Linked DNA regions of Cricetulus griseus. The protein of the gene in region 2 interacts with the protein of the main gene of each other region in a pairwise test. Links are inferred from orthologs where the notes say so. Each region holds a gene or a part of one and is shown on either strand. Other genes may lie near its edges.

Region 1 (2,258 bases), on a different chromosome or scaffold from region 2:
GCATGCATTTTCTTCTGAGACCTTCACTCCCATAAAACAAGGCTTCCAAGCAGAATTTCTGGTCATCAGCAGTGTCTTCTAAGTTACCATACTAAAAGCCAAACTTGCCAGTGAGGCTCCAACCAATTTCCAAGCTTCTCCAAGGCTTCTTTTGTATTCAGAGTCAATGAGGATGGCTTCCCTGCCCTTCCCTCCATCCAATTCCTCCCATCTTCCAATTCCACCCCTCCACCTAAGCCACCCCCACAGAGATGTGCTCACTGTAAGTCACTGATTCATACACCCATTGCAAACCACAACTTCCATCCTCCACCCTTTCGTTAGTATGTTGCAGACACCTCTAACTCAGAAAGACAAAGTGAAAAGAATTAGAACAACCAACTTTCACTTAAACACTTTATTAGTATTCATGGAACCAGGGGAGTTTCCTCTGCTATTAGCCATCATGGTCCTAGCTGAGTTCATGAGGCTTCCCACCCTTGGGTTCTGTCCCCAATTCTTTAGCCATTCCTTCTGGGTCCAGGCATCTCATCAAACAGAGAGAAAGGTGCATTCTTGAAGGCATGAGAATGGTCATGGTCGTTGTCCCCTTGCCTCTCTCTGTCTTGTGGGATGTCTTGCTGGCTGTTGATGTTGGCTTCGGAGCCCACCACCTCCAGGATATAGTCAGTAATGTAATCAAGCATGGCGAGGAGGAAATCTGAAGTGGTAGAGCCTAGGCAGGGTGTATATTGCTCCTCCTGCAGTAGATGGTACACATAGTTCACAGGAATCTGTACCTCGGGCTTAGAAGAAGGATCTTCCATCTTCTTGTTGTCACTGCAAGACTTTCCTTGGTTCTTCTTCCCTGACATGATGGTTTGATGGCTTGGGCTCCGGCAAGCTGTGCTTGGCCCACCAGCAGGACTGGCTCTCGGGAGACAATGTTCAGCCCTGCTCATTGCATCCCCAGTTTCTACTCATTGGTCAGCAGCTACCTTTATGACATCTTGGACTTTGAGATGTCATTGGTGTCTGGGCACCAATGGGCTCAGACTAGGCCTCAGTCTAGAAATGTCTGTCACAGCAGTTTCACCTCCCTGCCCTGATTTTGAGAAACATTTAACTCCCCTCAATTACAGTCAAATTAACATTGTAGAAATAACATGTTTTAATTGGAAACTGTCTTTATAACCTTTCATTAATTAGAGGGTACTGGTAAACATATCAAATATACTTTCCAGGTAGAGGTTTGACTGACCTCTTCAAACTGTTGGAGTATGCAAAAAGGAAACTGGGAAAGGAGGAATATTCTGAAAGAGGAAGTTTAGATCCTTCAGACACTAAAACATCATCAAGTAATCCCCAAATTTCCTGTCCCAGCTCAGTTAAAGGTAAACCATTAGAGCACCTTGGGGCCTTAAATTAACCACATTAAATAAGTATCTGTGCCTCCCTAGTCCAAAGCTAACAAAAGATACAATATCACTCATGTTAACAAACTTGGTTAGCCATCTCCTATCTCAAACACCCATCGTGAGGATGGAAACCACACAGAACACATTTGAAACTGACTTTCTAGACAAATCCAACAGTAATCAATGTGGTTCTTTCTTCCTGTGTTCTCCAGAGGAGGTGGAACAGTTTCCACACTCACTACTCAAGATATCCCGGGCAGACTGCTGGTTTCCAACCTCAACACATCTGACTATCTGATATGTCTGTACACCCAGCTGGTGATACTGTGTGCTCAGTTAACAATCTAAAGTTTACCCTTCTGCTTTTTAATAAAAGCTTCCCTATCCTTACCCCTAGTCTCTGTTTCATTCTTTGGGAAAGTGCTCTAACTAACGGAGGAACTACTAACCTTAGATTGTCTCATCCAAACAACCTCAATGATTCCCCAGGAACAGATTTGGTTCTGTAACATAGATGTGTAAGGGCTAGTAAATATAATGTGATACCCCCCCTCGCTGAATCTGTAGCTTAAGGTACCACTCCACCTCCCCTAGTACCCTCCTGGAGCATATTTATTCTTCCATATCTCCTCTAACTGTTTCCCTTGTGGTAAGTACCCACTACTTCCTCCAACTACTTCCTTGTTTGGCTTTGGAATACTCTTTCTAGGGGTTCCTTCTAGGGGGTAGGATATCTGAATGAGTCAAAAGGAATCACACTATTGACTTTAAATTAGAAAAAAATTAATATATGAAACTGTGTATAAATATGCACATATAGTTTAGATGAAATTTTCTCAACTGGGCTGAAAATGAGGCCTG
Region 2 (4,129 bases):
TAGCTCAGATTTAGTTATTATCCCCAGGGCTTGGATTTCATGTTGTTGCCAATCAGATGATTGTCTTAAAAAACAAAACAAACCCATAGTTTACCAATATCTTACTTAAGAAAATTATAAAAGTACCTTGAGAAATAAATTCTCTGAGAATGAAGCTCCTTTAAAATGAAATCACTGACATTAAAAACAAAAAACAATTCAAGAATTAGATGAAATATACTTTATGTGATTTTGCTCACAGTCTACATTTTAGCAACTATCCAACATATAAATGACTCCTTCAGACATCTCTGTATCTACATACATAAAGGGAGGTAAATAAACCTAGCAATTTCCAAATTTCTAAGCCTGGGCCACCTCCCATTTTCCGTAGCCATTTCCCTAGATTTGGGCACCTTATCTTCTCCTGTTTCAGTCTGCTCTTCATTAACACAATGAAAACCAAGATGCTGAACATTTGTACTCTTCATTGGCATTTTGGTCACCATTTTTGAAACACTAAATTACATTGATTAAACATTAACATATTTAGGCAATGAGGATTTTAGGGAGAAAAAAAAGTAAGTGATCCTAGAATAAAATTATACAAAATATAGTTCAAAACTATAAGCCTTACTTCACAGCTTTCCAGATGCCAGGGCTAGACAGACATACAGAAATGTTAAGACAGACTTCCCAAATCAACCTTTATCACCTAGAAAAGGGGATGTGTGAACTACTCCCGAGATTTAAGATTCCAAGTCTGATCTTATTTTAGGTTTCAGACCCATCTGACTCAACACAATTCTTTCCTTTCATTCATATCCCATTTTTCCGGGACATGTGATTTTTATCTAATACTTTTTCCTTGTAGAAACACATTGACCTTTACATTATGTCTACCTCTGGTAGTGATATTTCTGGCAATAAAGTATGGCCCCAGAACACATCCTCTTCACCACCAGCAGAATAAATATTTTCAAGAGTAAGATTCAAGTACAGCTTGGATCTGTAGGTGGAGGAGAAAAATGATATGACAGGAAAGAAAAACATGAAGACATTAAAAAAGATCATAGAAAAATGTTTTCAAGGAAGGATTTCCCAGTTTTTTTAAAAAATAAGTAAGCACTAAAATTAAGATTATTAATTGAAGCTGATCAAATATTGATACATGATTCACACTTCATCTTAGTCAAAAGGCCAAGAAGCAAATTTCTACAAATTTCTGAGATGAAAAAAAAATGCTACTGAAAAATAAAACTGATTTACATTTTCACTTTATATTATGTATCATAGCACATTAAGTAAATAAAGTATGCAGATTCGATCACTAAGGTCCCAATAGTCTACCCAGCTTTCTGAAGAGTTCTGAGCAAATCAAATCTGCCAACTGAATTTCTGAAAAAGGTTGTGGGAAAGGCACAACATGGATTTGGTGGGCAGTGGGAATTGAACCCAGGGCCTTGGAATAACACCTAATGGCTCTACTACCGAGCTAGATGCCCAGGCCAGCAGTTTAAGCTTTTTCGTTTTAAACTCAGCTCAGTCTCATAGTTGTTGCAGGTCTTTAAACATATAAGCTATCACTGGACTCAAAAATCATTTTGTTCAGTATGAAGTAACTAGACTTTAATAAAAACGGTGGATAACTAAGATTTTTGAGATCTAGCGCAATGTATCTAAAAACCAAAGTTTTAGATAGAGGAATACAGATCTGTAGAAATTAAAGGTACAAAGCCCCCCAGTAATAGATACTAGTAAAATGTTGTTGTAAGAGAAAAGTTCTGACGAGGGATAAAAAAAGGGAGTTAGCTAGAGCAAACGGCAGCAATGATGGCTCAATGGGACCGCTGCGTTTGTGTATGAAACTGTTTTTTAAAAATGCTTGCAAGTAATTCTGTAAAATAGTCTAGTGCAGTCATGAGTCCAGAATAAATGTTAAGATTAGTTTTCTTCATAGAGAGAAAAAAAAAAATCTGTAGTCCTCAAAGTAGATGGAGAATTCTTTAAATTCATGAAAACGAAAGCAAAGAGAACACGAAGTACTTTTACTCTTCTAGCCAGTCTAGATGTATCCTGGGCTGAAAAGACAAAGGAGACCCCAGAGTGCCTTTAACCTCCCAGTATTAAGTCGCAAACCAGTTCTAAGAGGTGGACTATGATTCCTCCTACTTGGTTGCCTCCCAAAGCATCTACCAGCTGGGTACATAAGCAAGTGCCATATAGGATCTCCCTCTTGCCCCTAGACTTAGAAGGATGAGACAGCAGACCTGATCATAGGCCTACAACTCAGGAACCCGGGGGAGTGAGTGCAGCAGCATTCAGGAGACCTCTGTCCCAGCCAGAGCAGCACAGCCTGTCCGCAGACTCCGGCTCACCCAGCAGCCGCCAAGCCGAAGAGAAGGGTTCCCAAGGCGACCGCACCAACACGGAAGGAGACGGGAGCATAAGTAGCTCGAGAAAGTGGCGGGAACCAGGTGTCCGGCCCCAGAGCCCTAGCGCCCGCGCTCCAGGGCTCCTCTCGCGCCGACCGTTTGGATTTGGAACCGTGGGTACCAGCGCGCCGCGAAAAGTGGCTACACACGGGCTGCCCCTCACTCTCAGATTCCGCGGTGCAGATTCCATACTCCGCCCGAGCGGCTTCCTCGGGAGACTCAATTCCCATGAGAACCTCATCAATTATACAACTGACGCTGAGTGTCATGTTTCAGATTAGCGTAACTCGGATGGGAACGGTCGTTCAGAAGGGGAAGCGGGAAAGAAAGACCGTACGGCGAATCGGACACGACGAAAACGAAGTCCTTATTCTTTAAGGGGCCCCGCTCCCCGACGTCACTTCCGGCAACAATAGGAAACGTCAAAAACCTTGCCCTGCCTGCCACTCCGGCTCCTGCAGACGGAGGTGCTCTGAATTCCCGGGAGGCTGGGGCTGGGGCTGGTGCTGGTGCTGGTGCCCTCGCAGCCGCCGTGCTCTCCAGCGTGAACACGCGCGGTCTGGACGGGCCTCTCCATGGCTTGGGCGTCGGTTCCCGGCTGAGCCATTTTCTTTGCGGCTGACGGCCCCCGCCCAGAGGCAGAGTCGTCGCGGCGGCGGCGGGGATCGCAGGTCGTTCAGGTACTAGCGTCGGCCCGGATGCCTCCAAAGCCTGGTCTCTCCCGCCTGCGCTCTTTCACTTTTATGCTCGGAAATGAAAAACGAGGGGTGCTTGCCACTTGGCAGCACCGGGGGGTAGGCGATAGTTTAGGACCAATGGCACGCCGAGACGCTTTGAGTGACAGCGGCGCTGGCTTATGAACACTGCGTGTCGCCGTCAGGAGGCGGGCGTAGGTCTCGGGGTTTCTAGGCCAGGGGTATAGAGGTCAACTTGGGACTTGCAGGAGCGACGCGATGCTGTCCTCCAAGAATGCGGGCAAACGGTGAAGGTTACTTACCTCAGGTTGCTTTCATGGTGGTGGCTGTGTTATTAGGCGCCCAGGCACGCTTTGACATTTTTTTGTTTCCTTTTTACGACATCCCAATAAATACGAATCCAAATATGTACAGTTTAGGATCACTGCTGTTTGCTAGTTGCCACAGTCCCCCAATTTGAGAATAAATTTGGTTAAACTCTTGTCTTTTGTTTTCCTACACGTTCCACGTGATATATACTTAATACATATTGCTCGACAGACAAAAAACAAAAACAAAACAAGCAAACCCATGATCCATTTGCACTTCCTGTTCGATATATTTTAAGCTTGCGTTCTGTAATGGCTTATTAATAATTGTGGCTAAATGGTTTACATGCCAGACGTTTATTTTTACGAACCCCCACCCCTGCTGCTCTCGTCAAAGCATTGCCTATATTACTGCAATTGAATACACTTTGTTTTTCCGTTTCAGCATTTGCGCTCCCTTTACCCTTTTATTTTGAGACAGGGTCTCCTATGTACTCCAGGCTGGTGTAGAATTCTCTGTGTAGCCCCGACTGTCCCTAGCTAGCAATCCTTCCAACTTGGCCTCCCAAGGCTGAGACTATGGATGTGTAACAGCCCACTAACCCCTCTTTCGTTTCATGTTTGTACTAAGAGAGAAACTTCCTATTACCTTTGTGAAAATGGTTTGCAAAATAAGAGTTTCAGAATGAAGAATAAATAAATTTATTGTTTT
Region 3 (2,909 bases), on a different chromosome or scaffold from region 2:
ATCTCAGTATAGCATAACACAGGAGGAATTTTCTCTGATAAGTCAACCCCCAAAAGCTCCCCTGGGAGTCCCAAGACACAAGTATAGGTGAGGCTTTCCGGGTGAGCTGAGAGAGGGTAGAGGCCTGGCAAAGCCTCTGCCCTGAGACTCTGCCCTGAGAACAGAGGGGCTAACAGGGGTATGACCTCAACCCTGCTTTCCCTAACTCTTCCATCTTCCAGAACCCAAAATGGCTCCTATCATGCCATTTAAATTGGCTCCAAATTTTCCTTCACTTCCCCCTAGTTGTCCCAAGATCTCCTCATCCTCAGAAGTCTCCCTATTAAGATTAAGACCCTGTGCCCCCTAGGGCCGGTGCTGTAGCTGTACCCATCCCCTTAGGACCCAAGGACATCTGCCTTCTTCCCAGACTGAGTGGCATAGCAGTGAGACCAGGGTAGGGATCACTTCCTCTGTGAGGATACAATACCAACATAGCAAAAACCACAGGGAGCCCGGAAGACCTTACAAGTCATTGTCCTTTATTTTCTTACCATAAGATGAAATTTCAATTGCAAAGAAACATGTACAGAGCAGACAGATGAGGGGTCCTTGATCATAGTGGTCAGAACCAGGTGGGATGGGCCTGCCCCGCCTTCTCCAGCATGTCCCTCCCTCACCACACCTTGGCCCTTAGCCATTACCCAGGCAGAAACTGAGAAACTGGAGGGGAGAGGAGACCACTTCATTGACCAGGGAGTGGACAGACAAGGCCTTGGCTGCTAAGATTGACCCAATATGATCTAGTTGGGCACATGGGTCCTCAGTGTCCTTATCTGTTAAGTGGGCTACAGTGCCTGCTAGGGAATGGAGAAGAGCGTGCAGCCATAGGCCTCCTAACTGTCCTGCCACTTCTAAGAACCTGAAGAATGTATCTCTCGGTTTATGTTCACAAGGTCAAGGGCACAGTGGTGGAGCCACTCTGGCCTGATGAATGGACCAACCTAGGGAGCTGAATTCAAGATGCCAACCCCTGAGCTGACTATGCTCTGAGTTGTCCTTGGGCTGAAGCACAAGCATCATCAGGTCAATAAGGAAAGAAGACTATGTGTAGGGTCACACAGTGAGCCTGTTCAGGTTGTCCAGGCTCTGACCAAATGCAGCCAGCCAGCATATCATAAGCCAGGGCAGGAATGGCCTCCTTGATCATGATGTGAACTAGGGCGAGCCAAGCCCCTGCATACTCAGCATGGGCGTCTGTCCCAGGACTGCTCCACATCCAGCTGCTTCCCTCCTTGGACACGGTGCTGCGGATAGCTGAATGCTCTTTAATAAACACATTCCTCAAATCTACACTGCAAGGGGAGCTGGAGAACTGAAAAAAAAAAACTATCCAGTCAAGGCCATGCTAGATGGGCAGACCAAGTAGAGCTAGATAATGGTGTGAACTTTTCTTCCACCACAAAACGGCCTTCATTCTGCTACAGCAAACCTACTAAAGAAAGCCTCTCTGGTGAACAGGCACTTCCAGCATCCTGAACTACATCTCTGCTTCAAAGCTCATCCACATGTGCTCATGGGCTTTGGATGTTGGGAAAGAGCTCAGGCCAGGTAGACACAGCAGTGCTGTCTACAATGTTCCTTCTAGAACCTGTGGTATGTCCACACTTAATGAGTCCCCGTAACTGTCCCTTCCTTGCCACTTGACATACGTGGTCACTGAGGCCCCAGCATTGGGACAATTTCAAGGTCCTATAGTGAGTCTAAGGGCATAGGTCCTGGAGATAAGTCAGACCAAAGGCAAATGTTGGGGGACCTCCTCTCCCTCAAAGGGTCTTTGGGGACAAGATGCCTACTCAAGGAAGGTCATGATCAAAGGCACAAAGCAACAACAGCAGAATCCCAGGCACCTGAGGTGGGTGACTTGCTGGGCAACTTTGGGATGAGGGGGACTTCCTAGCACTCTCTGAGGGGACAATAGCAGGTGAGCTCCTCCCTTTCACCCCTCTATGATGGGAATGGAATGAGGTGCTGAGTTGGTAAATCTTGATCCCCAGGAAGCTCTGAGACCAGGAAACAGAAAGAAAGACAGTGATATTGCTGCCCCGGACAAGGCGGGACCACTCAGGTCAGGCAGGTCTTGGGGAGTGACTTTGGTCAGCTTGTCAGAGCATCTACAATATGATTTCAGCCCTCCCCTCCCTCCGCCCATCCCTGCCCCACCCCCACATGGATGCCTAGGCCAAGCCTCCTCTATTTGGGCTTCATCTCCACCCTGGAGTTGAGGTCATCAGCATCCAGGTCATACTCCTCCACCTGGCCACTGGTCCACACCTTCAGGCGGTCTGTGAGGTCGCTGCTGCGTGGGGCCAGGATGAAGTCATAGATCAGCACTGCCAGGGCACCCCCAATGAATGGCCCCACCCAGAAAATCTAGGAAAGAAGCATGAGAGTTTAGAGGACAGCTGGCCACACCACCCGTCCTCCCCATTGGGATCTCCCTGCATCTGCCTTGAGTCAGAATCAGACAGACCAGGCCCCTACTTTTCTGATTCCAGTGCCTCTCAGTGTAGGCCCATATTGGGGTGCGTAGTAGGGACATGTCCTGGCCTCTGTACCCAGCTCAGGCATCTCTGTAGCAGCCTGTTCCTGAGGATGGCTAGTACTACTACTCCCTTCCCCCAGTCTCAGAAGGTTCCCAGAGATGGGCAAGTCTAATAGAAGGGTGGCCAGGAGCACACAGACCAACAGTAATTAGAGCAAAAACCTACGCAATGTTTCCTCTGCTCAGAGCTCTGCTTGCAGACATGGGTGCTCTCCTGATCCTAAAAGCCCTGGGAGAGACAACTCTCCTAAGTCTGCTTCATTCACAGCCTGAGAAACCAAGGCACAGAGCCTGCCTGAGGTTGTTAAATCCCAAGGTGACAGAG
Region 4 (3,500 bases), about 23 Mb from region 2:
CCCAGGCTTCCCGATCAGCTTCCACACTGCCAGTCCTATGATGCGCTGGCTGCCTGCCAAGTTAGTTCCACAGCACAGCTGCCCCACCAGTCAGCAGCAGACTCCTGTCCCTACTTGAAATACTTGACACCTGCAGTAGGGCCAGGAGAGAAGAAAGCTACAAACAGAACACCCAGTTCTTGTTGACAGTATCAGGCCTTTGAGGCTGCCCAGCATCGCTTGGAGTACCGCCAAGCCACACACAGTGGCGGGGTGGGAGTATGGACAGCAGCTCCTCAATTCCCAACTCTCAGAAGGTAGTGATGGAACAGGATAGCCATACGCCTCTGCTCAATAATCGACACATCCTACCCAGCAGCTTCCTTGCTTTGCTCTAAGAGTCTCTTCTGCCGCAACACCACCAAAACAAGTGGCTCTCTCTTGGGCTGGAGAGATGGTTCAGTGGTTAAGAGCACTGGACTGTTCTTCCAAAGGTCCTGGGTTCAATTCCCAGCAACCACATGGTGGCTCACAACCACCTTGAATGAGATCTGGTGACCACTTTAAAAAAAAAAATATTAAAAGAAAAAAAAGAAGTGGCTCTCTGTAGGCCTTGACACGGCAAGCCTGTGTGTGGCACTATCACTTAAATCAGTGGTTCTCAACCTGTGGGTCACGACCCCAAGAGGCTATTGGAAAATACAGAAGTTTGCATTATCCACAACAGTAAAAAACTGCAGTTATGAAGTAGCATAGAAAATAATTATTCTATGGTTGGGGGTCACTACAACATGAGGAACTGTATTAAAGGGTCACAGCATTAGGAAGGTTGAGAACCACTGACTTAAATAAATGAAGATCCCTTCTCCAATCTTTCCACCAAAGTCTTCTAACCGGAGACCCACCAGGACAGAACAGGCGTGTGCACACGGAACAGTACTGGGAGGAACCCAGGGCTTTGCACATACTGGGGAAGAACTGCTGAGCTACCCGGGCCGTAAGCCATGGCTCTTACAAACAGAGCTGGTACGTGTTTCCCAGGTATTCTCCAAGCCGCGACTCCAACTTACACACATCTTATTTATAATATGTCAACTCAAGTGGCAGAACCAAGCTGTCTTCAGCAACAGCACCATCTGGTGGTCCATATGGCAAGCCATCTGACTGTGTTTTCGAGTCACAGCTTTCTTTTACCGCCCTCCAAGGACCAGGGTATACACACATTAAGCTTCCTACCTCTTGATGCTCAAACTCCAGAGGCTAGGTCTAGTTCAGTCCAACTCCCTTTACACTTCCTTTCCTCCTGCCTGTCCTTAATTCAAAAATCACTGACTACATTATAATCCCCAACTCACCCCTTAAAAATACCTAATGGGGTTCAGAAATAATTAAGTCCTTTGTTGAGGAGGAACTCTCAAAATCCACTTACCTTTCCGTTCCCTGAGAAGGACACTCCGGTGTTCTTTCACTTCTGAGCTCAGATTATCCACCATCTTATTAATGCAATTGTCTAGAACCAGGGAGTGGGTTTTGGACTCAATATCCTTTCGACAAATGGGACACTCTAGTTTCCGTTTCATCCATTCACTGATACAGAAGGAGCAGAAACTGTGGGCGCAGTTCAGGGTGACAGCCTGCAGTGTGAAAGGGACACACAAGGACACTTGACACTCTACTTTCTCAAAGCCAGAATAGGAGCAAATCTGCAAGGCCAAAAGGAAAGCTCACCAGCCCCATCTTACAAAAATGCTCTCAGTAGGAACGCATGCCTTTAATCCCAGCGCTCGGGAGGCAGAAGTAGGCTGAGTTTGAGGCCAGCCTGGTTTACAGAGTGAGTTCCAGGATAGACAGGGCTGTCTTGAAAAAACAAACAAACAAACAAAAAGATGCCCACTCCCCACCCTTTCCTATCTCCCTTTCTTATCTTCTGCTAGTTTCCAGAGTCCTGAGCAATGCTGAGTTTCTCCCCAGCAGGGAATCACCAGACTGGAAACTGCAGAAACCGATGACCTATAGTCAGTGTGAATCCACAGGCACAGACACTTCTCCTGGGAGATTCCACAAAGGCTAACACCTCCAACATCCTGGAGATTGCCTCAGAACACGACTCCTCTGTACGTGTGTTTTCCTTTCCAAAGCTATCTGAAGCCCTGCCATTTGACAGCAGTATAAAATGAATTGGTTACAAATGCTAGAAATTAATGAAAACTAAAAGCTGGTGACGACGTGACAAATGGTAGCCTAGGAGAGAGATGCTTCATTTTCAAAAGGATCCTCAAAGCCCTGAAATATGCACTCTGGCCCCTGAATGCCCCACAGTAACCACACAATCAATGGCATTCCAAAGGACACACTACAAGTCCACACTGAGCAGTGTGCCCATCCAGAGCAAAGAAAGGACAGCGTTAGTGGTCAGCTTTATCCCAATACTTCAACTGTGCTAAGTAAACATCCAAGAAGAGAAAAAGCACAGTGAAGACGGCATGATGCAATGAGGAGTGGCCACCTTCTGATGTCACCTTGAGATCAAACAGCTCTAGGTTTCTAAACAAAATTCCCTCCAGCGTGACTCCCTGTAGCAGCAGCAGCCTGGAAGGCTGGTGAACCGTGTGAGGCGGGGGCCAGCCACCGTGCATACTTAACTCAATGAAGTACTCGGAGCATATGATACACTGCAGCTCATTCTCCAGCACGTCGTTCACATGGCTGAGAACCTCCTCCTTCTGAGCTTGCACCTTCTCCTTTTCTTCCTGCAAAGACACAATGCCACCTGTCACCTGGGGAAATGAGGCAGAATGCAGGACCGGGTGAGCACAAGGTACGCTGAGTAGAGCAAATGCCTTCCGGTGCAAAGGGCTTCCAGTGTAACGATGCAAGAGAAACTCCCTGAGAACTGCCCCTTAACACAGAACACTAGCTCCGTCTTTCCCTTTGTTGTGGCCAATTCCCGCTGAAAGCTAACCTGCAGTGTGACAGCAAGAAGGGGCGAAGCCCACCTAAGGGTGAGTGACCTAGGACAAAGCCTGCAAGAGCTGGCCCTGCTCTTGCTCACACCCTGCTCCCATGTGAAGAAGACAGGGTCAGTGTCATCCGTGAACCAAGATCATGTCCTCACCAGACTCACATCTGCCCTCACCTTCTTGGGACTTCCCAGCCTGCAGAACTTGGAAAGATAAATTTCTGTTGCTAATTAGCTACCCAGTTTACGGCATTTTAACTACAGCAGCCCGGATGAACTAAAACACTTACTTTTCCAGCACCTGTATTATATGTCCTTTGGTTCCTTTCCCCCAAATTAGCCAAAGTGGGTGGGGGAGCACTAAAATATTCTCTAGCAAGGTACAACCCAAGTAATAAAAACTTTTCCCTATACTAAAAATTCACATGACAAGATATAAAGAGCACTCAGGAGGCAGGGGGCTGGAGTGAGCTGTGTGGTTCCTTGTGCTGTCAAACAGTATCTTTGATGAGCAAAGGATAATACCTATGTTCCTCTGGGCATGGCTGGAAAGATGGCCTCC
Region 5 (3,938 bases), on a different chromosome or scaffold from region 2:
AGAATTATCCTCTTCCTGCTTTTCAACACCAGCTGCTTACTTAAGTGACCTAGAGATGACTGCTGACTAAGCCTGGCTGGCCATGAAAAATCTCCAGACAGCAGTGACCTCTTCCTTCCATATTCTTCTGCCTTCCAAGATCCAGGTCCCACAGCACAGGAAGTAGGCCTGAAAGGACCAGAACAAACCCAAGACTCCTCAAACACCTTTTCTCCTTGACTGCTAAGCTGGCGCTGGGAGCTAGGGACAAAGTCATGCCAGGGGTAGATGGATCTTTCTAATCTTTCTATGGCATGGCAGTAATGAAGGCTTTGTGTCAGCTTGCTAGATTAAGAAACACCCAGGGCATTAGCAAGGCACACATCCTTGATGTGTCTGTGGGGACTTTATGGGGAAGGACTAACAGAGGGGAGGCCCATACTTAATGTGGCTAGTGCTTGAAGGGACCAGCTTCCCTTTTGGCAGCCATAATGACCAAACACGTGCTCTATGACCTTGTCTTAGTCACTAGAAAGTCAGATGCCTGCCTCGTGACAAGGAAACAATCAGAAGTTAGTCACTAGAAAGTCAGATGCCTGCCTCGTGACAAGGAGCCAATCAGAAGTTAGCTGATAGCGCTATGCTTTATGACCCTGGGTGTGCTTTATGGACAAGCGCACAGCAATGACGCACAAAGCATAGCAACCACCCTGGGAGGGCCTATGGGCCATAACAGCCAGTTGACCAATCAACACAGGGCAAACCCTCCAAGCCTGGAGGCACACCAATCCTGAGCCTGTGCATACCCCTAAACACTCCCCTTATGCTGCCCTATAAAGATCTGTATGCAGCAGCTTCAAACTGTCTTTGCTAGCCATCTGCCATGGTGGGTGGGTCAAAGACCCGAGCTAACATGGTGTTAGCTCGTTAAACTACAATAAAGCCTCATGCAATTTGCATCTAGCTTTCGCCTCCATTCTGTGATTGGGGTGGCCGAGGTCCTGGGCTAAGATTCTGGAAGCCTCAGCTTTCCAAGGGTCTTACAGTGCTCATGAACTAGCATCCTGGACTGAGAAAAACATGGATCTGCAGTGATGTGAGGCAGCGGCCCCACCCCATAGCTTCCACTTCACAACAGATTTACCCCTCAACCAAGATCCAAAATAAAGACTTCCTCCCTTAACTTGCTTCTTGCCAGGTATTTGGTCACAACAATGTGAACAGCAAGTAATACACCTACTTTCAAATCTTATTCCCAGCCCCATTCCCACTCCCACATCTGGGCTGGTATCTCCTGTCTGCCCCTAACATGTGGGCTAATAAAGGTACCAAAGGAACCACGGCCACCCTCATGCACAGATGTGTAGTTTATGTGTCAGGGATCAGACCTAGCAAGGTTCCTTGTTCTTCTATAGGATGCCCAGGACATAGTTGCCTAATAATCTGGCTTAGCTATCATGAGCTGAAAGAGATGTAACTGTGGCTGCTTACTACAATGCTGTAAGGAAAAAAAATACCCAGGTGGTTCTCTTGTCCTGTGTTTCTGTCTCCTTCTCACCATATTTGCTGAGCTCATTATAATTACACTAATAGAGAACACCAGCCAGAGATCCATCCTCTTTGTACATACCTCCTGAGACCAAACTTTTAGGGAAATTACCTGTGCCTTGGATCCCTCCATCCTACATTTCTCCTCCACTGGTTGCATGACCCTGGTCTTCCAATGAGCTCTTGGGTAACACTGGAGAAAGCAAGGCCACCCCTTTGTGACATAGCAACAGAAGGAACACTCAAGTAAAAGGGGGTCCCACTGAGAAAGTTGCTGTGTGCAGGAGATCTGGAGACCACAAGCTATAAGTGTTTTAATCATTCACTGGCTTCAAAAGAAACAAGTGAACATTCATCCCCAGTAAACCATCTTTGGCCCATGGCAGGGCTTAATCCTCTTGACCATTGCAAGTGGGCTCCATTCTGGGGTTTCAGCTCCTGTGTTCATTCTTATGCATCTGGATTCAAGGTTGACTCTAGTTCTCTACAGATGTCCTGAGTGGTTATACACTACCATGCAATGAAGGGTCTCCTTTGGGAAGGTTAGACTTTTGTCATAGTATCAACAAATCTTGAAAGGCTAGTGCTGGAGGACCTGACCATCCAACTCAGTCTCCTCATTCAAGGCCAGAGGACCCCAAGGTTCAGAGAATCCATGTGTCCTCCTCAAGACAAATGGGCAGGAAAACAACACCAACATGACAAGAATCTGAGTGGCTGACTTCGCTGTTCATTCTGTAAGGCTTGGAAACAGGGTTATTCTAGCAAGTTACATTCTTCCATGATTGTCCCTACCTGAGGTAGAACCACATTGATTGGAATTTCTAGGCTTTCAGATCTGGTATCTCTCTTTCTTGTAAAAATTGGCCTCGAGTGCTGTGAAAAAGAAAGAATCAGATTTCTCCTTCTCAACCCATCCTCAGGGCCTCAGTGGCTCACCTGAAACACATAACCTCTTTCTACACATTTATGTCCTTCTGACTAATTTTATACCTTATAAAAATCACAGTCTCAAGGCATGTGTACATGGCGCCTGGCCAGAAGTCTTACTGCTCAGTGATCAGGAACTGATCGACACTGATCACTGAACAAAAAACCAAGACAGGAATGAACTGATATGAAGCCCTCTTACAAGAAGAAATCATTGCAGCTCTTCCTGGTTTTACACTACGATTTCTATATAAGTAAAAAGCCATACCAATGTGAGGTGCCAGGTATAGGTCCTATGCATAAGCTGGTCACCAAAACACTCAGAACATTCCAGAGGTGACATCACAGAACAATATGGTGTTTTTCTGAGCTCATGGTTTCTCTCCGGGCATCTCAGGTGGGAACGAGGCTTCTGCAGGAAGGAAGAATTGCTGCTGGCTGTGCTCAGGTGGCCAGCCCGGGTCAGTGTGACACACAATAGCCCTTGTTTGGTCAGCTGGCTGCCACTCACACCTCACTGCCAGGCTGGCTTGAACCTCTCTACCTCCCATCAGAGGTGGCATCTGTTTCAATCACATTAATTAGGAAAAGAGAAACATTAACTGTCTAGACCTGGAGAGACTTGGCACTACTGAGGAACTCCAGTCCAGTTCCACTCTGATAATAGCTACATGTCAGGTTCCGAGAAGTTAGGGGCTCGGCCCTAAAAGATGATCTTTTACTTCAAGTACCAATCCCATATCAGGGCCACCTGTACTTGTAACTGGTTAGCCATGCAGGGGTTACCCTAAGCTGCTCCTCAGGTTCAATAGCTGTCTCTCAGAACACAGGAGAGTAATTTACTTAGGATCACAACTTTAAGAAGCATGCAGCTCAGGAGGGGCCAAATGGTAATGATAAAGGGTGAGCTGTTTGACAGGGTAGTGTCGTAAACCTTCTGGCCTTCTCTGGACACACCTGCCTCCCAGCATCTTCAATGTCTGAACCCAGTTGTTTAGAGGTATTTGTGGAGTTCCATTATGTAGGCAAATTTTATCAAATCATTAGCCTTTGATCACTTAACTAAATGTCAAATCCTTCCAGAGGTAGACGTTTGCTGAAAATTCCAACCTTCTAATCACCTGATTGGTTCCTCTGACAATCACCCCCCACCCCCAAAGTCATTCCCCTAGCATAAACTGATGTGTTTCAAAGGAGGTCCTGTCAGGAAATCCCAAGGGTTTAAGAAACACTGTTCTGATAGAAAAATACAACCAAACATATCACATGTAGAACCTGCATTAAGGCCAGAACACTCATCCCTCCATCCTTAGCTCTGTCAAATCTGTCACCTCCAGATCCATTTAAGAGCCCCAGTTCTGTGTGATTTTGCCCCTTGGGGTAGGAAGAGAGTAGGTTTCCGGGGTTTCCTCAATGAAACCCATGTTCCTGGGGTCTGGATCAGTCCCATGCTGGTAACCCAGCTATCAGTCTGGGGAGCA
Region 6 (3,946 bases), on a different chromosome or scaffold from region 2:
TCAGACCATCTGGGAACCAGAGTATTTAATATATGTGAGTCATTCTCCTTCAGAAAACCCCACATGCTAGGATTATATTCCCACAGCATTTCCTATCAAGTCACCTGAGCAATGGTCAGCTAGGTATCCTGGTGTTTGTAGTCCTAGGATACAGTACTAAATTGACCTAGATTATGCAAGTGTAGTTGGTTATTCATCGATATTTCTGCTTTACACGAGTCTACCCCACCCCCAACCCCCAACACTTTCTATGTGTAATCCTGGCTGTTCTGGAATTCACTCTATAGACCAGGCTGGCCTCAAACAGATCTGTCTGCCTCTGCCTCCTGCTGCTGGAACTAAAGGAGTGCACCACCACGCCCAGGTTTGCATGAGTTCTTATAGTAAGGGTCTAGGAATATTTAAAATCCATTAGTACCACAGGGAGCACATCCAAGGCCAGAGGACAGACCTGGCCAAGCATCAACTATATAAGTACTTTTTGCGATTTACCAATGTTGCCCTGGAAGCCAAGACCATTTGTTCTACCCACTCAGCTCAACAGTTACATACAAAATGTCTGTACAAGGGTTCCAGGAGTGTAGATGGTGCTTTGGTTGGTAGTCAGTTTGGAGAACTGTGTGCTGCTGCTGCCAACTCTCAGTTTGGTGGCTCCACAAATGGGCTGGAGAATGGGGCCACTCACTCCACTATTTCCACAGCCTCCTCACCAGCACTGTCTGAAAGCTCTTCCGCAGACTCTTTCTCCAGTAAACAGCTTCTTGAGACAGACTTCCTAATGGCTTCCCGCTCCCCTAGAGGAACGGAAGACATCCTTGGTCATCAATCATCTTACCACTGAGCCTCAGGCACCACCTGCCCTGGCCTGTTGCCTACCTTCATCAGTGCAATTCTGCAACAGGATCAACAGCTGTCTCCGGTTGTACTGAATCAGGAATTTCTGACAGGTTCTAATAGTACCTGGTGCATGACAGAGCTTCAGTGGACAACGGCTTGTGAAACAGTCACTCTTTAGGGGGCGGTGGGTCGGTGGGTGGGTGGGTGGGAGGAGCATCTTGTTCTTAGTGGGACAGCAGTAAGACCCACCCACCCACCTGCCAGGACTGAGCCCCAAACAGCCACCTTACACAAGCTACCATCACTCTTACCTCCCACGTGTAACGTGTTGAAAAAACACGGATATCGGTGTCCTTTGTTCTCCAGATATGTAATGAAAGGGAGAGCTGACCACACAAGCTGGTAGAAATCCTTTCGGCATCGCAGTAGCACTACTCCAGTGTAGGCATTGAGGTATCGAACTACAGTAGGAAGCGAAAACTGGAGAACTTCCCATTTACAGGAATAGAAAAAAAAAAAAAAAAAAAACCCGGAAAATCCCAGTATATGCCAGTGACTGTTCTAGACAAATGTCTGGGTGGATGCATCACTGAGTAAATTTGTGATGTTTTGCCCTTTGGGACCAGAGTTAGATAGTCGCCATGTGGTGCTGGGAATGGAACCTTGGTCCTCTGAAAGAGCCACAAATGCTCTTAACTGCTGAGTCCTCTCCAGCCCCACCAGTCTCACTTAAAAAAAAAAAAAAAAATTGTTGAAAGGTTATTTCCTTTGAAACAGTCCCATTATGTCATCCTAGCTACACCAAAACCTGTCTGCCACGATGCTCAGCTTGAAATTTTATGATAAACCTTCCAGTGACCATCACTCAGGTCAATATATAAAGTGAGAGAGAAGTTCTACGGCCGTCCCATTTCAGCAGGAAGTAACTTGGAGGATGATAGGCCGCCCCTCCCTTCCCCCATTATTGTCTATTAGGGTAGTGCTAGTTAGGGATAGCTTACTATTGTTTATGGTTGGGATTGGAAGGAGGTGTCCAAAAACAGCAGGGGGAAAAAAAAAACTTTCCGGTAAAACAGGTGTCTTTACAACCGGTTTCTGTGGGTAGGTCCCTCTTTAACGTAGTCTCACCCAAAGCAAGAATTTGTTTACGTGTGTTTAATTCTGCAGAATTCACGTTTAAGATTACGGTAAAACGAGACCAGCCTGGTCTGCAAGAGCTAGTTCCAGGACAGCCTCCAAAGCCTGTCTCAAAAAAACAAAAAACAAAAACAAAAAAAAAAAAAAAGGAAAGAAAAAAGATTAAAGTAAAAGAAGCTAAAATGTGACATTCGGAGAAAAAGAAAGCTTTCGAGTTCAGCACATCTTTCCACATGAGAGTTCCTGTGCACTCGTCCGTCCGTCCGTCCGTCAGAGGCGCTTTAAACTTTAAGGGATAAATCTGACATTTTAAAACGTGCTAACGTAACCTATCAGGTCAGAACTTTTACGAGGAATTCTACACGGCTACTTTGACCTAGCCCAGTAACTTAAACGGAATACCCTCCACCACCACCCCCGCCCCCGTGCTGGGTATTGAACCTTCCGCCCTGGGATGCTGCGCGATTCCCAGGCTTTTCTAGAATCCTCCAGTATCCTGCCAACCGCGCCGTGCGCCCCGGCCGCGGCGCCCCCGTACCTGCAAAGCCCACCGAACAGGCGGCTGCGCCGAAGGTCCCGTGCACCCGGGCGATCGTGTCGCGGACGAGGCCGCCAAGCACGCGGTCGTCCAGGCTCAGGCGGCAGCGCGCGTCCTCCGACACCAGCTCGCACAGAAGGTACCTGCGGGGGACTGAGGTGAGCGCGGCCCGGACACGCCGCCGCCGCCGCCGCCGCCGCCGCCGCGGGTGCGGGGAGGACGACACTCACCTGTGCTTGAACCGCACCATGGCGTCCGCGCCGGATGAGGCAGGGAGGCGGGACTGGGCCCGATAGGCCCAGTGCCCTGTCAATCCCCGCGCCCCGCCTCCCGCGGAAAGTGTAAGAGCGCATGCGTCCGCCTCAGCCTGGCGCTGGGGATTTCTCACTCAACTTGTACGTGAGCTTGTGTTCCCCAACGGCGGACCGATTTTGAGGCCAGGCCTGCACGTAAAGCCCGAGAATGCCGCGGGAATCGGGGCCTTTACAGAAGTCAGAGCAGAGGTTTTCCCATACAGCCAAATACGCTAACTCTTTAGGAGCTCCCGCAGTTTCGTGGAGGTTTTTGTCAATTGGTTTGCAAAAACAATGTAGTACTTTCCCTCCCTCCCTCCCGTCTTTTCTTTCTTTGTCTTATGTTCCCCAAGCTAACCTCAGAATGGCTGTGTAGCCAAGGGTGACCCCAAGTTTCTGATTCCCCTGTCTCTTCCTAGCAGGTGCTGGGATTACCACTATGTGCCACTCACCACACCCAGCCCCTTTGTTTTCTGTAAGAATAGGGATGGTGAGCCCAGGACAGCCAAGGCTACACAGAGGAAACCAGAACAAACGGGGCGGGATGGGGACAGGTTATTCATTTGAATATCTTTTTGTGATTTAAAAAAACAAAAACAAAAACAGGATCTCATTCTACCTCAGACTGGAGTAGAGCTGGAAGCAATTATGCCTCAATTTCCCAAGAGCTGGGATTACAGGGTGTGCCACCATACTAGGTTCATTTCACTTAATCTTGTATGTAAAGTGCATATTCTTTTCGTTGTTTTTTGAGACAGGGTTTCTCTGTTTAACAGCCCTGACTGTCCTGGAGCTCACTCTTTAAACCAGGCTGGCCCCGGCCTCCGGAGTGCTGGGATTAAAGGCATACACCACTAGGCCAGTAAAGTGCATATTCTTACGTGTGCTACTGAGTGAAGACGATTCATATGACATAGATAGCACTTTAGTACTCTGTAAGTTCCCAGGCCCTCACCAAAGTCCTTAGAAAGAAAGAGCCACCATTCCCACTTCTGTGGAGCTGGATAGGTGTTGCCAGATCTTGGCCTTGATGTATGCATTTTACAGCATACCTGTTCCGTGCAACATGGCTATAAGTCTGCTGCTTGCATGTATTTTCATGTCACCTGTGCTGCCACAAATTTATCCCTCATCTGCCCAG
Region 7 (3,500 bases), on a different chromosome or scaffold from region 2:
GGCAGGCTCCAAAGTTACAGAGAAACCCTGTCTCAAAAACCAACCAACCGCTCAGTGGTTAAGAGCACTGACTACTCTTCTAGAGGACTGGGGTTCAATTCCCAGCACCCACATGGCAGCTCACAGCTGTCTGTAACTCCAGTCCCAGGAGACCTGACGTTATACAGACATACATAAAGGCAAAACACCAATGCACATGAAATAAAAATAAAAAATTAAACAAAACAAAAACAAACAAACAAAAAACCAAATAAATAAAAAAGCCAAAAAATAAAAGTAAATATTTTTTAGGAAGGCTACTATTGAAGCCTAGTAATGGAAGGCATACTCTCTACTACTTTAAATTCCAGCATTAATATAGAAACCAAACTAAGAAATAATAGAAAAACAAACACAAACTGTGTCTCGAGGGGGAAGAGAGGAGGCTGTGACACTTGTAACTACTTCTTTCTGATATATGAGGCACCCAAAGGTAGTTCTGAATGAAGTGGCTTGAGGCTCCTCTTGGCCCGGCCCAAACCCTCTGGTTACCTTTTCCATTTCTTGCTTGAATGTGGTAAACACTTCACTGCTTTTGGAAAGTGTATTCTGGAACTCCTCAAACTTCTCTGTGTACAGGGCGAGCTGGGTGAGAGATAAGCACAGAGATGAGGCTGGACTTCTTTGAAAGCATCTCTGGGTAACACATTCAATTCAAGTATCCCTTTGGCCCTTGATAAAACCATTCGACTGAGACACCATTTCCTAGTAAAACAGAACCAAAGCGGTGCACAGGAAGGATGTGCTCCAACAAAAAGAAACTAGAAGGTAAGCTTGAGAAGACTTCAGCACATAGAGATTCTGACACTGGTCTCTTAAAAATACAAAACAAAGGGAAGCAGTAGTGCACACTTTAATCCCAGTACTTGGGAGACAGAGGTGGGTGATCTCTTTGAGTTAGAGTCCAGCCTGGTCTAAAGAGTGAGTTCCAGGACAGGCTCCAAAATTACAGAGAAACCCAGTCTTGAAAAACCAAAAAAAGAAAACAAAAAACAAAACAAATAACAACAACAAAAGAGTAAAAAACAAAACAAAAACAAAAAATGATGAGGCTGGAGAAAATGGCTCATCAGTTAAGAGAACTGGCTGTTTTCCACAGGATGTGGATTTAATTCCCAGCACCCATGTGGAGACCACAACCCTAACTCCAGCTTCAACCACGCATAACCACCTCCTGGCAACCTTTTCTTTCCTTTTTTTTTAAAAAATTTACTTATTATGTACACAGTGTTCTGTCTGCATATATGCCTGCAGGCCACAAAAGGACACCAGATCTCATTATAGATGGTTGTGAGCCACCATGTGGTTGCTGGAAATTGAACTCAGGACCTCTGGAAGAACAGTCGGTGCTCTTAACCTCTGAGCTATCTCTCCAGTGCCCCCAACTTTTTCTTAAATAAAAGGCTTGATTGAGACGAACACAGCAGTTGGCTCAGAACAAGCATAAGATGAGGGTCTTGTTGTCACAACCCTAAAGATGGGGCCACATGACTGCAGGTAAGGTTCCAGTCTCACCTGCTGCTTCAAGTGAGTCTCCTGCTGCTTCATCAGCTCGCACATCCTCTGGGACTCCACTGCTTCTTTCAGGAGCTATTTCCAAGACAGGACCCCAGAACCTGTCAGCAGCCCCTGGGGGGTATGTTTGGCCTTCTTTAGCCACAAGCACTGGACCCACTGAGGCTACCTGCTTTCAGACTGTCATCTGAACAGGCAGTTATGGGACCGGGCAGGCAAATCCTCTCCCACCCATATGAACTAGACTCTGAGCTAAGCCAAAACCCAGCCCACTTCCTTGTATCCCAACCACAGCCCTGGGGGGCCTGAGCCTCACAAACTCCTTCTCCCGCTGGTGCCGCTCCTCTGCCTCCTTCAGCATCTCCTGGGCCTGCTGGAGTTTGGCATCCACTAGCTGCTGCTGCAGGTCCTTATGTTTGAAGACTTTGTCGATATGCTGTAGAAAAGGTATTAATGGGATCTGCTTGTCAGGAGTACCCCTTCAAGGAAGCCCCAACTCTAGAACACAAGGACTTTATCCAGTCTCATCTTGATCCCACTGTCCTTGGGAGGTCACTTTCCTAACCTCAACCTAATGTGTAGATAGGACACTATACCTCTACTGTACAACTGAGTATTTCTACAGATCCCTGGTTCAGACACCAGAGGGAAGGCCCTGTGGGCCAAATGTTTTCTCTCCATTTCAGTGCCTTGTCTATGAATCACATCTTTTGAAGAGCAAGAATAGGCCTGCAGAGTGCTGCCCCAGTGCCTCTGGCACTCACTAGAGCCTCACAAGCTGCTGACCACCTCACCTCTTCACGAAGCTCATATTGCTCAATCAACTTCTTGAGCCTCTCCGCCAGTTCCATATTCTCTTGGCGCAGCTTGGAGTTTCGCTCGTTATGCTGCTCCATCTGCAGCTGAATGTCATTCAGTGTCACCTGGAAGTGTGAAGTCACCTCTTTTCGTTTCTCCTCCTCCTCACGGGCTCGCTGCACACCTTCTTCCTGAAGAAAGAAGCCAGCCCTTGAACCATCATCCACAGCTCTAAGCTCTATACAAAGCACCCCTAACTAGTCCAGTCTTTGCCGACAGAGCTACTGGCCCCACAATGAGAAGCACGGAGGCTCCAGGATGTTATAAATCAGGTGACATCAATTGAGTTTCTCCTTTTGAACCAGACGGTGTGGCACACAACTTTGAGGGTTAGGTTATGGGGGAGGTCCTTCTGTGTATGCATTTGTCTTCTTGGTTGATAAAGCACTGTTGGCCAATAGGAAAGCAACATAGGCAGAACTAGGAGAGAAGGAGGATTCTGGAAAATGTAGGAAAGTGTCAGAGTCACCATGTGATCCCCGGGAAGACAGGACGCATAAGGCCAGCATCTTCGTTAAGTCTTTATAAAATATATAGATTAATGATTATGGTTGATAATTAAGACTGAGCTAGCAGATAAGAAATCCTAGCTATTGGCCAGCAGCATTGTACCTAATACTAATCTCTGTGTGTTATTTTGGGCACCCATGTGATGGTGGGGCTCAGGAGGCTTGTGGAAAGAGTTATTGTTACAGTTAGGGTTAGGTTAGAGAAACCATGTCTCGCACCCCCACCCCCCCACACAAAAAAGAATACTCAGCATACATGTTAAGTGCCATTCTGAAGCAGTCTGGATCTTCTGAATTCGTGTTCCCAGATTCTAGATTAAGTATTCCTGCTCATTTCCCATAGAAAACAAAATGATAAAATGTGCTGATGATAAAATCCTGTCTCTTTTTTTATTAAACATTCTGTCATCTTAAAGCAATTTTAAAAATAATTCTATTTACTGCTTGTGTGTACACATGCATACCATGGTCCACATGTGAAGGTCAGAGGATAGCTAGCTGTAGGAGTGGGTTATCTCCTTTCACTATGGGGGTCCCAGGGATTGAACACAGGCTATCAGGTTTGGCAGTAATTACCTC

What was found.
Region 1: the proteins of Cep44 (region 2) and huntingtin-interacting protein M interact in binary tests that used the Homo sapiens proteins (3 or more experiments, as listed by UniProt). The two-hybrid records come from large-scale screens. The link is inferred for Cricetulus griseus from reciprocal best matches to the Homo sapiens genes CEP44 and H2AP.
Region 3: the proteins of Cep44 (region 2) and Aqp1 interact in binary tests that used the Homo sapiens proteins (3 or more experiments, as listed by UniProt). The link is inferred for Cricetulus griseus from reciprocal best matches to the Homo sapiens genes CEP44 and AQP1.
Region 4: the proteins of Cep44 (region 2) and Rnf8 interact in binary tests that used the Homo sapiens proteins (3 or more experiments, as listed by UniProt). The two-hybrid records come from large-scale screens. The link is inferred for Cricetulus griseus from reciprocal best matches to the Homo sapiens genes CEP44 and RNF8.
Region 5: the proteins of Cep44 (region 2) and Cby2 interact in binary tests that used the Homo sapiens proteins (3 or more experiments, as listed by UniProt). The two-hybrid records come from large-scale screens. The link is inferred for Cricetulus griseus from reciprocal best matches to the Homo sapiens genes CEP44 and CBY2.
Region 6: the proteins of Cep44 (region 2) and Pop5 interact in binary tests that used the Homo sapiens proteins (3 or more experiments, as listed by UniProt). The two-hybrid records come from large-scale screens. The link is inferred for Cricetulus griseus from reciprocal best matches to the Homo sapiens genes CEP44 and POP5.
Region 7: the proteins of Cep44 (region 2) and Txlna interact in binary tests that used the Homo sapiens proteins (3 or more experiments, as listed by UniProt). The two-hybrid records come from large-scale screens. The link is inferred for Cricetulus griseus from reciprocal best matches to the Homo sapiens genes CEP44 and TXLNA.

The regions. Positions count from the first base shown.
Region 1 is NC_048604.1:115,609,487-115,611,744, reverse strand, and holds huntingtin-interacting protein M, read right to left. Parts: upstream 855-2,258; coding exon 501-854; downstream 1-500.
Region 2 is NW_023276806.1:234,964,390-234,968,518, forward strand, and holds the start of Cep44 (centrosomal protein of 44 kDa), read right to left. Parts: upstream 2,801-4,129; 5' UTR 2,358-2,800; exon of another isoform or gene 2,250-2,357; intron 175-2,249; exon of another isoform or gene 127-174; intron 1-126. UniProt on the Homo sapiens protein: Centriole-enriched microtubule-binding protein involved in centriole biogenesis. In collaboration with CEP295 and POC1B, is required for the centriole-to-centrosome conversion by ensuring the formation of bona fide centriole wall.
Region 3 is NC_048601.1:85,971,847-85,974,755, forward strand, and holds the end of Aqp1 (aquaporin-1), read right to left. Parts: intron 2,413-2,909; coding exon 2,233-2,412; 3' UTR 501-2,232; downstream 1-500. UniProt on the Homo sapiens protein: Forms a water channel that facilitates the transport of water across cell membranes, playing a crucial role in water homeostasis in various tissues.
Region 4 is NW_023276806.1:258,092,300-258,095,799, reverse strand, and holds part of Rnf8 (E3 ubiquitin-protein ligase RNF8), read right to left. Parts: intron 2,730-3,500; coding exon 2,622-2,729; intron 1,614-2,621; coding exon 1,409-1,613; intron 1-1,408. UniProt on the Homo sapiens protein: E3 ubiquitin-protein ligase that plays a key role in DNA damage signaling via 2 distinct roles: by mediating the 'Lys-63'-linked ubiquitination of histones H2A and H2AX and promoting the recruitment of DNA repair proteins at double-strand breaks (DSBs) sites, and by catalyzing 'Lys-48'-linked ubiquitination to remove target proteins from DNA damage sites.
Region 5 is NW_023276807.1:229,960,913-229,964,850, forward strand, and holds the start of Cby2 (protein chibby homolog 2), read right to left. Parts: upstream 2,801-3,938; coding exon 2,726-2,800; intron 2,404-2,725; coding exon 2,323-2,403; intron 1,688-2,322; coding exon of another isoform or gene 1,640-1,687; intron 1-1,639.
Region 6 is NC_048597.1:94,815,587-94,819,532, reverse strand, and holds Pop5 (ribonuclease P/MRP protein subunit POP5), read right to left. Parts: upstream 2,801-3,946; 5' UTR 2,763-2,800; coding exon 2,743-2,762; intron 2,656-2,742; coding exon 2,513-2,655; intron 1,299-2,512; coding exon 1,149-1,298; intron 961-1,148; coding exon 877-960; intron 795-876; coding exon 682-794; 3' UTR 9-681; downstream 1-8. UniProt on the Homo sapiens protein: Component of ribonuclease P, a protein complex that generates mature tRNA molecules by cleaving their 5'-ends. Also a component of the MRP ribonuclease complex, which cleaves pre-rRNA sequences.
Region 7 is NC_048595.1:23,404,282-23,407,781, reverse strand, and holds part of Txlna (alpha-taxilin), read right to left. Parts: intron 2,544-3,500; coding exon 2,349-2,543; intron 1,991-2,348; coding exon 1,871-1,990; intron 1,630-1,870; coding exon 1,555-1,629; intron 625-1,554; coding exon 532-624; intron 1-531. UniProt on the Homo sapiens protein: May be involved in intracellular vesicle traffic and potentially in calcium-dependent exocytosis in neuroendocrine cells.